2 linked regions of the Lonchura striata genome follow. The protein of the gene in region 2 purifies or fractionates together with the protein of the main gene of each other region. This does not show direct contact. Links are inferred from orthologs where the notes say so. Each region holds a gene or a part of one and is shown on either strand. Other genes may lie near its edges.

Region 1 (7,392 bases), on a different chromosome or scaffold from region 2:
ATTCAAGTATTATGGTCCCTATGTACACACTTCTACAAGCCTAGAAAAGATATGGTAGACAATTGAGCACACTACCATCAAATTGTAAGAATTACAAAAACGTTGTGTTTTAAACAGCAAATTGTACCTTAATAGTTTAATTAAAAATAGAAGAGATAGGTAGACTATTTTGCAAATACAACAGCACACTAGTGTGCTGTATATTAAGGCAATACCTTTAAATGCGCACTTGTCATCTCTAACAAGTTTTATACAATTGCTACCAAGTGAAAGAACTATTATTGTCTTGCAAAACTGAGAAAGAAATACAAAATATCTGGAAGCCTACATTTTCAAAGTACAAAATTAACCTTCAGTCCTTGTATTGAAATATTATACACAGTACAAACAGTGATTCTCCCCCCTACAAGATCTCACGAGGATTTCTTAAAGCTGGAGGCAAATTTGAAGGTTTTGACTCTTCATCCAGAAGCACCAAATCTTCAATTTCACTACCTTTGTATTTTCTTTTACAGATCTTCACAATAACTTTCTTCTTGAGGAATAATTTCAAAGCTTCTCTTGAAGCCACTGCTTTGGCATTTTCCATACTTTTACCACAGCCAGTACCCAAGTAGACAGACTTGCACCTCAGTTCACAAACTATGTTTTCTAGAGAGCTTTTATTTTGAGGCAAGTCTGCAAGTTCCTTAAGGGGAACAAAAGCAACATCTAACGTAGCTTTTACAGACTGAATAGATGAATTTAGAAGTTCTGCATGATTTACATTAGGACTGAAGCCTCCAACAGCAACCAGTTTCCAGGCTACAGCTTTGTAGAGTCTGTTGAAAAACGGTTGTCTTTCCTTTGCATCTTCGCTGGTCAGCGGTTTGCACAAAGCCTTCGCAGGGCTTTCACCTGCCTGCGAGCCACTCTTAGAGGCCAGCTGGGAAGCACCTGCCTGAGCTCCACCTCGGGAGGGCCCTTGCTGAGCTCCACTCCGAGCGGCCAGCAGCGAAGCGGCCACCTGAGCACTGCTCTTGGAAGCGAGCAGTGAGGATCCCGGCTGCGCACCACTCCGAGCGGCCAGCAAAGAGGCAGCTACCTCTGCACTGCTCTTAGAGGCCAGGAGCGGGGAGCCCACCTTAGCCGGGCCTTTGGAAGCCAGCAGCAGGGAGGTGCCCACCTGAGTACCACTCTTGGGGGCCAGAAGCAGTGAGCTGCTCACCTGAGCACCGTTCTTGGACACTGATGCTGGGGCACCCAGCTGGGTTTTGGAAGACAGCAACGCAGCACTCGTTTGGGGGGTGCTCTTGGTGGTTGGTGGCACTGCTGTTGCCGCCGCCGCCGCTGCCTGTGGGGTGCTCTTGGTGGTTGGTGGCACTGCTGCTGCCACCGCTGCTGTCTGTGGGGTGCTCTTGGTGGTCACTGGCACTGCTGCTGCCGCCACTACTGCCTGTGGGGTGCTCTTGGAGGTTGATGGCACTGCTGCTGCCACAGCTGCTGCCGGTGGGGTGCTCTTGGCAGCTGGTGGCTGTGCTGCCACCACTGCTGCTGCTACCTGAGGGGTGCTCTCGGCAGCCAGCGGTGCTACACTTCCTGTAGTTTTCTTTTCAGGTGATGGCACATTCTCACACTTGATTTCCTTGGGTGGGCTTGAACAAGGCTTCTTTCCTGGCTCTTTCTCAGATGAAGGTGGCTTTTGCTCAGCAGTACTTTCAGCATTAGCAGGTTTTCCTTCTGTTTCTGTGTCTGACACTGTGATCATTTCTTGATCTGAACTGCAAGTTGACTGGGAAGTTTCTGGATCTTTGCTAATACCTTTTTCCTGCTTTTTGGGCAAGGTGCTCTCTGTTTCCTTTGCTCCTTCTGCTTTGGTTGTTTTCACATTCTTTCCAACATCCTTAGAGTCTCTGCTTTTCTCAACAGCTTGTCTCTTGGAGGGCTCCTCTACCCCTTCTGCAAAACAGGTAAAATATGTGAAACTCTTTGATTTCTGCACTATGAAATATCCATGTAGAGAAAAATAATCTAAAACCTTTTAGCAATATTCTCTGTGAATTTAAAGGGCATATATTAGTAATATACTTTGAACTGTCATTTCAAGTATTAACCTACTATTTCAGGATTTTGAGTTTTTTGGACAAAATCCGGTATACACTCATGCAAGATTTTAGATGTTGGTTTGGACCCAAATATGTATTTCTATTCTTGAAGTCCAAACCGAAACTGGCCAACATACATAAAATGGGTTATCTGACCTAAAAATAAAAGAAGTGTATTTGGTCTACTAATGTCACAAAACATCTTTAAAACATAAGTCTGAGAGTTACTTTTAGAAACGCAGTTTCTTACACAGCAACAATGGCAAAGTAACAAGAACGTATTTAAGCTGGAGCACAGCAGCACACAACACAACGCACAAGTTGTCAGATTATAGTGCACCAGTTGTAGAAATTCAAAACAACAGCTCTACATTACCAAATTACTATCTGCACATTATGTCCATTTTAGAGACATATTAGAAAAAGAATAGCACAGAGAGAGGAAACTATTAGCGGGAGTTTAAAAAGTAAATTATTTCAACTACTTTCTAAGCCCGAGGCAAACCGAGAACATTCAGAAACAAGAATTTTCTAGACTCCTATGTATTGTCACAGCTATGATCTGCTAACCATTGCTACTTGATATGCCTCTTTTCTTCACCTTGGCAACCAGTTCGTCTCTCGTGGTGCGGACAGGCGCGTCGGTCACTTGGATGCCTTCGGCCATTTCCAGCGCCCTCTCCATGACCTGCGGCGGGTACCTGGAGGGGCGACAAGAGGAAAGGAGGGAAGGGGCCTCGTCAGACGGCCGCGCCTCGCCGCCCCCCCGTCCCCCGGCGCGTCCCGCTGGACTCACCGGCATCCCAGGAAGACATGGTTGGCCCACACCATGGAGAGGGACACCAGGCGCTGCAGCTGGGCGCTGCCCGCCGCCGGCAGCTCCCCCACGTTGCGCAGCAGGAACTCCCGGCGGTACCGCCAGTGGTGCTCAGGCTCGCAGGCCCCGCGCAGCGTCTCCGCCCAGGCCGCCTCTTCCGCCGTCCGCCCGAGGGGCTCGCCCGCCGCCGCCGCCTTGCCCGCCATCGCCGCCGCCGCGGAAACACCGCCCCGCGGCTTCCGCCGGGCCGCCGTGAGCTCACATCCGCGTGGGCCGGGCCGCGCAGCGCCGCCGTGTGCGCGCCTCGGCGCGTCTCGGGTGCCGGGCAAATGAGGTGCCCTGGGCTCGGCTGCCAGCCCCGCACTGTGACTGGGGAAAGCGTGAACAAAAGCTCTGCTGTACGCGTTGGTTTCTTCCAGGCTTGCTGAGGTCGGAGTTTGTGGCGGATCAGTTGGTGTTTTACCTCAGAATCACAGAATCACTTAGGCTGGAAAAGTCCTCGTAGTCCTGGGGTCCAGCATCTGACCGAGCACCACTTTGTCCGTTTGACCATGGCACTAAGTGCCGCGTCCAGTCTTCCTTTAAACACCTCCAGGGATGCTGACTCCCCACTTCCCTGAGCAGCCTGTTCCAATGCTTCCCAACCTTTTTTGTGAAGAGATTCCTCCTAATGTTCAACCTAAACCTCCCCTAGTGCAGCTTAAGATTGTGTCCTTTAATCCTGTCGCTGGTTGCCTGGGAGAAGAGGCCGATCCCCACCTTGTTATAGCCTCCTTTCAGGTAATTCTAGAGAGACATGAGGTCTCCCCTGAGCTTCTGTTCTTCCAAACAACCTCTGCTCCCTCAGCCGCTCCTGGTAGCGCTTGTGCTCCAGATCCTTCACCAGCTTTGTTTCACTTCTGTGGCCTTGCTCCACCACCTCAATAGCCTTCCTGATTTGAGTGGCCATAACTGGATGCAGCAATTGAGGTGTGGCTTCACCAGTGCTGAGTACAACGGGACAATCCTTTCCCTGTTCCTGCTGGCTACACTATCTCTGATCCTGGCCAGGGTGCTGCTGGTCTTCTTGGCCACCTGGGCAAACTGTTGGCTCATGTATTGCTGATTCATGTTCCACCAGCACCCACAGATCATCTTCCATTGGTGAAAGAAAAGGACACTCAGGTCCTTTCCCCCTTTCCTCCTCAGTGTTGTCCATACAATTGGGTTTGTTGCCTGGACAATAATTGCATACTTAAGAGAGACAATTATTATTTATTTCAGAATTGCACAAGCCTGGGTTCTCAGTGGTATTCCACAAACTAGTATGCCCCTCCGGACTTTCTGTGATGATTGGTTAGCAATTTCCTCTATGATAATTGGTTAGTAATTTCCGTACAAGTTATGTAACCCCAGCTAACTTCTATCCAATGCTCTGGGGAGGGGTCTTCACCTGGGCAGGGGTATTTTGACCTATAGGCACGAATTTTAATATTATAAGAGGATAGTTCAGGTATAGGATACATGGGCCCATGGGCCTAGAGTACTTGCCAAGTTAGCAATGTACGTAGATGTACATCAACGTCTTGATTTGCTCTATTCTTAAAGTCTTAGTTCCTAGATGTCTTTGACTAAGCAATACTGCCTGTTCCCCTTATTAGGTCTCCTTTCCTGATGGCTTGCACTAAAGACTTACCCTGACTTAAAATAATCTTGACATATTCCAGGTTTAACAACATTGGCATGTGACAGAAAGGTAGTGGCAAGGACATGGGTTGTTGTAGCTTTTTGGAGGAAGCATTATATGAGGACTGCTGCCTACAAAAGGTTCAGCTAATTGCTCTTGCAGCTCTGTAGGCTGTCTTTAGTTTGCAAAATCTTACTCCATAATTTGAACAATTCTCTGTGAAAAAGTAATAAGCACACTGTGAAAATATCACAAGCTGCAGTCTGCCAAGATAGGGCTTGCTGAGTCAGTGCAAAAGAGGAAAGAATTTTGAATTCCGAAGGGCTGTCCCTGGAGAGCTGTATTGATTTTTCCTCCTGAATTAAAAGTCTGGGTTTGCTTAAGTTTTCAATTTTTAACACCTACATGTCATTATGAACTGAACTACAGAATAGATTGCATTTAAGGAAGAAGTATTTCTCCTTAATGACCTAGATGTCTTATTTTGTGGAAATGGTTATGTAGCGGTTTAACTAAGAGTGCCTCTACAGAGCAAAAATGAAGGGATTAAGGAAATGAAGTCAGAAAAAAGAAGTCCAATGCCCTTTTGCTCTTTTTCCATTGTTGGGATGGAAGTGCTTTTGCTTTGCTTTCCTGGTTGGGCCACACAATGTTATCTTGTGCATTGGCAAGAATAGTTCAGTGACAGAGAGCAAGGGAACAGTAATGAATGGGATGGGGCTGACAGGAAGAGAAGGGCAGAAAATTTGTATCTTCTCTGCTGTGGGTGTCTTGGAGCAATGTGTTTGTTACAAAACAGTGTCAGAAATTTTAGAAAGTGTAATCACCACATGTATTTCCAGGCATTTGTTGTATCAGTCCCACATGTGGTTATCCTGTAATACAGGCTCAAATACAGGAAGGGCATGATGTGTCACATTAGGGATTCTGCTTAAAGGTGAGGTGGGTTTGTCTCCTAGACCTCTGAGTCTGTGATACCACAGTTCCTGACTTCATGGTCCATACAGACCTTAGAACGTAGGGTGAATGAAATCCTTGGCAAACATAGATTTCAGTTTGCACCTCAGTCAAGATCATTCATTCTGCCAGCCTGTTTATGCTCTTCAATGAACCATTTTGCTTTCTAATGAAGTTGTTTGAGACTTGACCTGGGCTTAAGATCTGCCCCTCAGAGACAGCAGGAATTCAATAAAGTCTTGAGTAGCTGCAGTAGAATTGTCTGTACTCTTGCAGAAGGAGAAGAGCAAGCAGTACAGACAAGAATATCCTGTCCTCCTCCTCAAGCATCTGAGTTGCCAAGTGGACTAAGGACTAGCCCATGTTGAGCTGCTCATATACCAGTTAAGAGTGGGAGCTGGGGAGGGTTAGATTCCACAGGATGGTGAAAGGAACATTTCAAATACTCAGAGGGATCTCCAGAAGTCATATTCTGGTGTTGCTGACTTAATGACAGCCAAACCACAGAGGTAGGACTCCACACCTCAGGGCTTTGTGAGTGCTTCCAGTCATCCTGTGTGCATAAGATTATATGGACTCACCTGTGAGTCCTGGGCTCCTAAAAAAAGAATTGTTCTAGGAAGTGTTGGAGACTCGGCACATCTGGTCCTAGAGTGGCTAAAGGACTGATTAGAAGAATTTACCCTTGTCCAATTATTGAGGACAAATTAACAGAGAGCCATTTCACCTCTTTGCCTGGTGACTATATGTGTGAACACAAATATTGGTGACTTCTGGAGAAAAATCAGGAATAGTTTTGCACACATGTAGAATGGCTAACAACAGGTTTTGGTTGTAGCGAGGAACTTCTCTGGTCTGATGCCTTCCTGGAACCTCATGCTTTAATTTTGGGTTGATTTTCTTTTGTGTTACTACTGCATCAATGTGTTGTTACTGGTACAAAGATTACTTTAAAATGAGCCTTTTGTCTTCCCTAACAGTTTTTTCCCAGTCATATTCTTTCTGCTTTATTAATGTGTGCTTGAATCACACTGGAACAGGATAAATCCTACTCCTGGAGTCTGGGATGTTGTGCACAGACAAGCATAGGTGTATACCTGCAATACTCTATTAGTGCTAAGGGATATAACTGTGTCTCAGGTTGATAAGTATGTGTATTAGAAAAGAGAGAAAAACACTGCTGTTAATTTTGAAAAACAAAGCACGTACTATTTTCATTCTCACCAGGAAAGGCAATTTTGAAGTTAAACACCTCACTGGTGGTGTTAATGCTGTGCATTTAATTTTCAACATTGGAAGAAAAGAGATGGTTTTGTTCCCACTAGGGAAGGAACTTCTAAATGCCATGTCAATAGTAGTGTTGTTAAGAGTCATTTGGGGTTTGATAATAGCTGCTTTTGGCAAGATACAACAAAAATCTCAAGGTGAATCATACCAGTGTCTATAAATCATAGTATTGCACTGGCACTTCTTGTATAATAAGTTTATAAATGCCTTTATAAACCAGTGAATTATTATTTCTTCAAAGTCAAGTCCCACTGAAACATAGAGGGCAGCATCTCCCATTGAGTTCAATTATGTTCTGTGCAGTTAAGTTTAATATATAGTGACATTCCCTACTCAACTTAATATGAGAACTGTGCTCTTAACATCATGCAATGCAAAGAGAGCTGAGTTATTTCCACAGAAAGGCAGTAACAGTGAAATCTTACTGGCCTGGCACAGTAAATCCCCTGGACACCATCTCTGGTTGGTCCCTGCTATAAGTAATAAGTAAGCTACTGGAGAGCTCTGGCTTAAGCTCATTAGAAATGCAGCTTGAAGAAGGATGGGGAAGAGATGTTTTGCTGTTTCCTGATATCATGTTA
Region 2 (7,349 bases):
TGACATCTTCAAAATGAAACCCTCTGAAGTCTTGCAGTATTTACATTTGGCACAGCTATCCTGACAGATGCCACCCCCAAGCACCAATGTTTGCCTCCTTTACTGAGCTCTCCAGACACACACACACACTCAAAAGAAGGTAGTGCTAGCAGAAACTAAGTGTCAGTGCAAACACTGTACCTTCCTCTGGGCTACCCCCTGAATTCTCCTTGATCCCCAGCCACCCTCTCTCCAGGGCTCAATGGGATTCAGAAGGAATCCCAGCTCTGTGAGGCAGAGAATGAGCCCCCCTTCACAGACCCACTGGGGTTCTCATGCAGCAGTCGTGTGGAAGGAAGGCTGAAGTATGTGGCAGCGATATCACTTGTGATATAACTAAACTGTTCACTTCTCATCTACAGCCTCTTTTGAAACCATTGAAAACAGATCTTCAAACATGATACTTCAGCTGCAGCTTTATTAATTCCTGTCCATTTGATTAAGAATATTCTCTCCTGGATTTTTTATTATCGTCAAGATCTTCCTCTCATTCTTCCTGCTTAGCTTAAGAAGAAGATTATTTCTTTTTCTTAAATCTGATTAATCTGGCAAGGTAAGAGAACAAGGATCAACTTTTCAGTTGAGAGACAAGCTACGAGGAGATACAAAATTTCTGATTAGAGAGATTTACAGCAATCCTAAAACAAACACAGAGCTGATTACATTGTGAGAGAAGCTTAAATTCACTGACAGTAAGACAAACTACAGCTTCTCCCTGATGTCCTAGTCCACTCTCAGATTTATGACCAGATTTGAATATAAAAAAATGTTAATGAATATGATTTATCCATGTGCTGTCCTGGCTGTAATTGCACGTGCTCTTGAGTTGGAACAAGGCAACATGGATGAGGACAGCAAGAGCTGCCACTTCACTTACGGCAAATCTAATTCAAAGAATTTGTTATGTCTTTCCACTTATTTTAATAAATAACTTTGGATGGTACAAGCTCAGTTATTAAAGACTGATAAAAAGAGACACACAATCAGTAAAACCAGGGTTATGCAAACCTTTGTTTTGCCTAAATGTGAGAACAGCTTTGATTACACAGAGATTAATCTAACATTTACAAATGTGCTGAAAAAGGCAAATCTGCTCTTAGAGACAACTGCCCCAAACTGTTACAGATATAATTGCTGTTTAAATTGTTGCTGCTTTTCAATAACAGATCTTAAAGGGTTATCCAAGACAGCCCCAGAGCCTGAGGGTTCCCAGATCCTCGGGAGAGGTCACCTCAGGCGTTTGGTGCAGAAACCAGAAGAGCCAGTGCTGCTGGAGCTCAGCATTAAGAGAAACTGTTAAGCCCACAACCCCCCTTTTATTCTATAAAAATTCCCAGACAGATTCTTAGATCTTAATTGCCCCCTATTAAAAATTCACTTCTCGCAGCGACAGGCAAAATAAACTTCCTACCTTGCTGAGAGGGACTGAAATCACAGCTGTAATAAAACCACAAAAGCAACTCACAATTTTAACCAAATCTGTGCTTCACTGCCTGAATCGGAAACACAAAAACACCCTGAAAAAGCGCAGAGCGGAACATCCTGCTGCAGGCAGGGTACACATGCAGCCTCAACACGGAATTTCACCACTTCACCCTTTTCTCCCTGACCTCCTCCATCATGCTCCCACTCTATCCCCTTCCAAGTATTTCCCCAAGGTGAGCACACCTTGGGAGAAGGAGCAGAGAGGCAGAAGCGCCACCACATGCCCTGAACTTTCCAAACCAGCACACCACAGCCAGTACCATCTAACAAGACAACACAAATTATTTGGAAAAGCCCATGGGAAAAGCAGTTTGGAAAGCAAGAGCTCCAGAGTCTGCCTCCTCAGAAAGGCTCGAATTAGCCCTGAGAAGGCAAACTTGCCACACTCAGGGCACAGTGTGGTAATTCACCATGGTGCAGCCACTCAAAGCCTGCTGCTGAAGGGAGACAACCCCCCCCCATCCTTCCTGTCCCTTCCCACTGTGACCCATAGGATGGTACAACACCCTCACAGTTGCAGGCATGTGCCTGAAGGAACCAGTCCAAAAAAACACGGAAACAAACATCACTTCAGCTTCAATACTGCCTGGAAAGGCAGCTGTGGTCAGAGCCTTCACTGAAACCTGCTGCTGCTGCCGCCATGGAAAGCCATATTTTAGAGACATCTTTGGAATAATCAGCTCCCTGTTCGGCCAGGAGATGTTTATCCTGAACTAGAAAACACCAACAACGAGACAAAACCCCCTGAGGCTGATCAAGGTTCGAGCACAAGCACAGGCTTGGTGTAAGTCTTGGATGTAGCGCCAGAGGCGGCTGCGCTCGTGTTTCCAGGAAGTTCTGGAGCTTGCTGCGGCTTCTAATTCCCATCAAAAAAAGTTGTGGAAAAGAAAGGACTGTGAAAAACATTCAAGAAACAGCAAAAAGCACTCCCACTGCTCCCTACTCAAATTTCACCAGTGCCTCAAATCCCACCTTTCCGGATCGAAGTCGCATGAGGGCAGAGCCGAGGGCGTCGGGAAGGGCTGGAATTCCAGCGAAGCGGCCGGAGAAGGGGCTCGATTCCCTGCTCCGGCGCCCATTCCCACTTCCTCCACGTGCCCGTTCCTTCCAGGAGCGCTCACGCGCGCCGGCGGCACTCAACGAGGCGCTGGGATAACTCCTCCCGCTTCCATCGGGATTAAAAATCCGAAAAAAACTCCAAAACCCAAAAAACCCTCAAACTTCTCCCAATCCTAAACAGCACCCGAAACAAACCCAAACACAACCCTAGTCCACCTACCCACCGACATGCCTTGGAAAGGCCTCGGGGCAGCCCACGGGGGCAACAGCGGGGGCTCAGCACCGGTGCGGCCGCCACGACCGAGGCGCCCCGGGGCGCCATGCCGGGCCCGTGCCATGCCGGGCGGCCTGCTCACCTTCTCCTCGACGCAGTTGACGATAATGGAGGGGTACTTGCGGCTGAGCCAGCGGAAGAAGGCCGGGACCCCCATGGCGGCAGCGAGACGGGCTGCGGCCAGCGGCACCCGCGGCACTTCCGGGTCGAGGGGGCGGCGCGGGGCATGCCGGGAAGGGAGGGGGCGGCGCGCGCGGTCACGTGGCGCGGTGCCGCCGTCTGGGGGGGGGCGGGGAGCGCGGCAGCGGCGGGAGCCGGGAGCGTGAGGGGACAGCGCCCCGAAACGGGTCTGCGCAGCTCCTGGCATACAAAAGGGACGCTCACAGGGAAAAAGCAAAACCAGAGGGCACAAGAGTGATATCCAGGAGGGAAAGCGAAACCTGAGGGAAGCCTGAGGCAGCCCCACTGCCGCCCTCACACTCAGCCAAGACAAGTGCGACAACTTCTCTTCAAAAACGGCCATAAAGAAGCAGTTTAACAGGAGAATCACCTTCCTTTAGCACCTTGTTAAAACATGGGGTGCTGCTGAGGGGTGCTTTAGGCTGCACGGCACTGTTGTCCAACAAGTCAATAATTAAGAGAGACATGGATGATTTATTTCAGTGCTGCGTGAGCTGCATGCTCAATATATTCCCTAAATGCAGCACAACCACTGTTACTTAAAAATCCAGAGCTGGCAACATCCTCAGCACAGCCCCTCTTTTAGGATTGATCAGTTATTTCCACATGAGTTACGTAACCCCAGCCAACTCTTCCATGTGCTCAGGGGAAGGGTCTGCACCTCTTCTTGGCCTGTAGGTGTGAGTTTCAGTGTTACGACAAACACGGTTCAGCTGTAGGATACATGGAATTTGGGTGTTTTGCCAAGTTAGGAATGCACACATAGGCATCAACATCTAGATTTCCTATATCCTTAAAGCTTGGTGGTTCCAGGGTGTCCTTGAAGGGATGCACTAATACGTCTCTGCATGGAAGTATACAAAAATATTACATTAGAGAACATCCCGACTTCAGACAATTTTGACTTATCCTGCGTTTGGCAACAACAGAAGCAATTCAGGGCACAGCTGCTCTGTGCCCTCTGAGGGGACATTTCCAGTGGGAAGTGGCTCTTTGTGATTCCTGAGAGCAACATGAGGCAAGGAGTCCCCATGCCCTTGCTCTGCCCGTGGCATAAGCAAATACTGTTAATTTGTGGCCGTTCAACAGCACCAAAATGGAATTAAACGGTTGGGAATTAAATGGGATTAAGACAAGCCAGGTTTTGCTCTGCCATGTCCTGTTGCCATCCATCAGCTCCGTTAGCAGGGCAGCCGCAGGGCCAAGGACAGGGAACAGCAGCCTGGGAGTCATTAACAAAAATAACAAAGTCTCAGCAGTGCTTGCTGAGTCAACGCTGCCGATTTGGGTTGCAGAGGAGAACTTTGGTACCTGGCTAATTCACTGTAGAATAAATTAACCCAGTATTGTGTCTCTCATTATTCTTATCCTCATTTGGCTGTTGTTAAGCCATTTTTTGTTGTCATTCCCCTCAATAAAATCTGTGACTTCAATAAATTTCCCCTGCAACTTTGTAGTCGCACCAACCACACCTGTGGTATCAGCTGAAGATTGTGCTTTATCTGTTCCTTACAAAATGTTCCCTGATTGAAGCTTCCTATTGTAGTGCTTCTCCTCCCGGAATTTTGTAGGGAGCATGGCAGCTTAGCATGAACATTTTATTTGTATTGATGGGCAATCAGTTTTTCTGATAATGATGAAGAAAACAGAAGGCTGGCAGATGCAAATGAAAGGCGATCATCTTATCTTATAATTGCTTGGGTAAACAAGTGCTGGAAAAATGAATACTGCAGCAGACAATTCCTTGAAAAGTTGGTCTGAGCATCAGCAGCTGCACTGGGCAGTGAGCCTGGGTCTCACCTGCTAATTGCACATCCATGAGCACAGCACAGAGCAGAGAACCCTGGGCAGGAGCAAGGAAGGCTTCCTACTCAGGCACTTTCCTCAGATGAGTGGTGCGCTGATGGGAATCTGTTTGGGGTGTATTGATTCCAGTCCCTCTGTCTGTCAGCATCACCTGCAACCAGGGCCAGGCTGCCAGCGTGACAGCTGTGAAAGAGCACAGGGAAGTTGACTAGTTGACTGGCAGGATGTTTTGAATCAAATGAGTCTGTGCACAATAAGAGTATCATCAATAACGCTCTGGAGGAACCTGGCTATTGCTCCGACACCAAGAGGCAGAGATTGCCTGCATGTGGCTCTACAGCCATCCGTCACCTGTCATGGGCCGCTGTCAGGGCTAAGCCAGACTCTGGTGGTGGAAAGCCCCACACACTGGTGTCATGCAGCAGACAGAAAGCGGGCTGACATCAGCAGCCCAGAGTCACTCAGGAGGAGCTCAGAGCTGCAAAGACACTGCGCTGCTGAGGCAATGTCCCTTGGTAGCGCAAGCTGCTGGATTTTTCCAGTGAGGCTGCTCCGCCTCTCCACGTTCCTCCCAGGCCTTGAGCAACATGCACACCCCACAGCACTGACAGCAGGCAGCAGTCCCACAGGACACAGAGCGTTGGTGTGGTAAAAAGGACATTAAAGCCCTCAGTAAAGTCTGGCTTTAGTTACAGAACCACAAGGTTGAAAGGGACCTTCAAGATCATTGAGTACAACCCATGCCCTAACACCTCAACCACGACACTGAGTGCCACATCTAGTCTATTTTAAAGCAGATCCACGGATGGTGTCTCCACCATCTCCGCAGGCAGATGATTCCAGTACTTTATCACTCTTTCTGTAAAAAACCTTTTTCCTAATATCCAACCTGTATTTCCTTTGGTGCAGCTAAAGACTGTGTCCTCTCACTCTGTCAGTTGCAACAGTCCCAGCAGTCTCCCAGGATGTCAGCCTTACTCACAGCAGCCAGCTGTGCCAATAGCTTCTGCTTGGTTCCAAGACTTCTGCAAGTCATTTTGTTCTGTTGAGCTTTCAGCCTACACGTTCCTCTTATTACACTGAATGTTGGTCCCATTTCTAGCTGGGTTTTGAGGAACGGGGTGCAGAGATGGGTGCCTGTGTTGGGAGACGTGGGAGTGCAGCACAGCACAGCACAGCTTAATTGGGGTGCTGCTTTCTGCTTTTGAACTTGTTGTCATTTAAGAACAGCTTTAACATGTCCCCTAGTTTCTCCATCCCAAAGAAAATCTCATGTTTAATGAACGTAATTTTTAGATAAAAGGAAGAAGAAAATTAAAAATGCATTAAGCTCCTGGAGTCATCCAATTACTGTGATGTCCACACAGCAACACCAGCATGGATTTCACAAAGCAGGGAAAAGCAGGAAAGCGCTGGGGCTTGCCACATGTAAATGCTGCTCTGTTCCAAAATGTGCTGAATTACAAATGGACATTTTATGCATTTCTTCTTCTTGATCTGTTGCAGAAGAAGATAAAGATCAAACATACCAGCCCACCCCAGCAGCGCCTATCTGCATACCCACAATGCATGTCTGCTTCTTCCCAAACCCTGTCTAGCACTGAAGTCCCAATATTGGGATGCCACAAGCCTCAGGAGGGGACTGTCATGGGGCAGGATTCCCATCAGAGCAGGAAAACACTGCAGGTCAGAGAGAGCACACAGACAATATATAGGACCCATTACATTTATTTGGTATTTAAATTTTCTTTGCCAATTAAGTAACAGGCAGTGCTGCAGCCTGTGGCACAGTCATTGTGTAAAAGAAAACACAGTTTGTTTCTTCCCAAAAGCCAGTGAGAGAATCTCAGTCATAGAAGTCATCAAAGTCGTCTGAATCTGTGCCGTGGGTCCGTGGGCGCAGAGCAGCCTCGAGTTCGGAGCAGCTGTCGTCAGATTCGCCCCAGAATGCTGTGGGTGAGAAGACGGAAAGCAGAGGTGCAAAACCTTTTCTGTGACCATGCCACTTGTCACAGCCATGAGCACAGGACAGGTCTCCTGAGGCTGACTGAGGGCTGGGAGTTGGGAGCCTCAGCCCCAGGTGTGCGTGTCTGGCATAGTGTCCGGCAGCAGAGCGGCTGCTGGACAGCGGCCTCATTCAATGCTTCCACTCCATTGTGCCACAAGGTAGCTGGGCAGAATATTTCCACTCCAAGCAATTTACTTGACCAAATGCTGTCTGAATTGCAGCTTTGTCTATTCTCTTCCCCTTTCTCCCCACTACTTGACCCTACGATGAAGTCACCAGAGGGCCATGACATCACAGGGTTGGCACAAAAATAGCAATGGCATCACAAATGAAAAATCACCACTTGGAGATCAGAGCAGATCCATGCAGGTCTGATCTCAGTGGAGCACATACATAGCTTTTACCTTAGGCTCTGAGAATCAGCAAACTCTTTTACTGACGGCAGCAGAATCCCACGGAAATTCAGAGTGCCTGAGAGATTTCTGGAGATGTGAATTC

The links.
Region 1: the proteins of XRN2 (region 2) and CDKN2AIP purify together in Homo sapiens (affinity purification with mass spectrometry; 4 studies listed by BioGRID and IntAct, with this or other methods). This does not show direct contact. The link is inferred for Lonchura striata from reciprocal best matches to the Homo sapiens genes XRN2 and CDKN2AIP.

Annotation. Positions count from the first base shown.
Region 1 is NC_134606.1:32,360,457-32,367,848, forward strand, and holds the start of CDKN2AIP (CDKN2A-interacting protein), read right to left. Parts: upstream 3,126-7,392; 5' UTR 3,108-3,125; coding exon 2,881-3,107; intron 2,786-2,880; coding exon 2,655-2,785; intron 1,939-2,654; coding exon 404-1,938; 3' UTR 1-403. UniProt on the Homo sapiens protein: Regulates DNA damage response in a dose-dependent manner through a number of signaling pathways involved in cell proliferation, apoptosis and senescence.
Region 2 is NC_134605.1:28,057,061-28,064,409, forward strand, and holds the start of XRN2 (5'-3' exoribonuclease 2), read right to left. Parts: upstream 3,079-7,349; 5' UTR 3,015-3,078; coding exon 2,940-3,014; intron 1-2,939. Other genes in the region: KIZ (centrosomal protein kizuna), read right to left, coding at 6,690-6,793. UniProt on the Homo sapiens protein: Possesses 5'->3' exoribonuclease activity. May promote the termination of transcription by RNA polymerase II.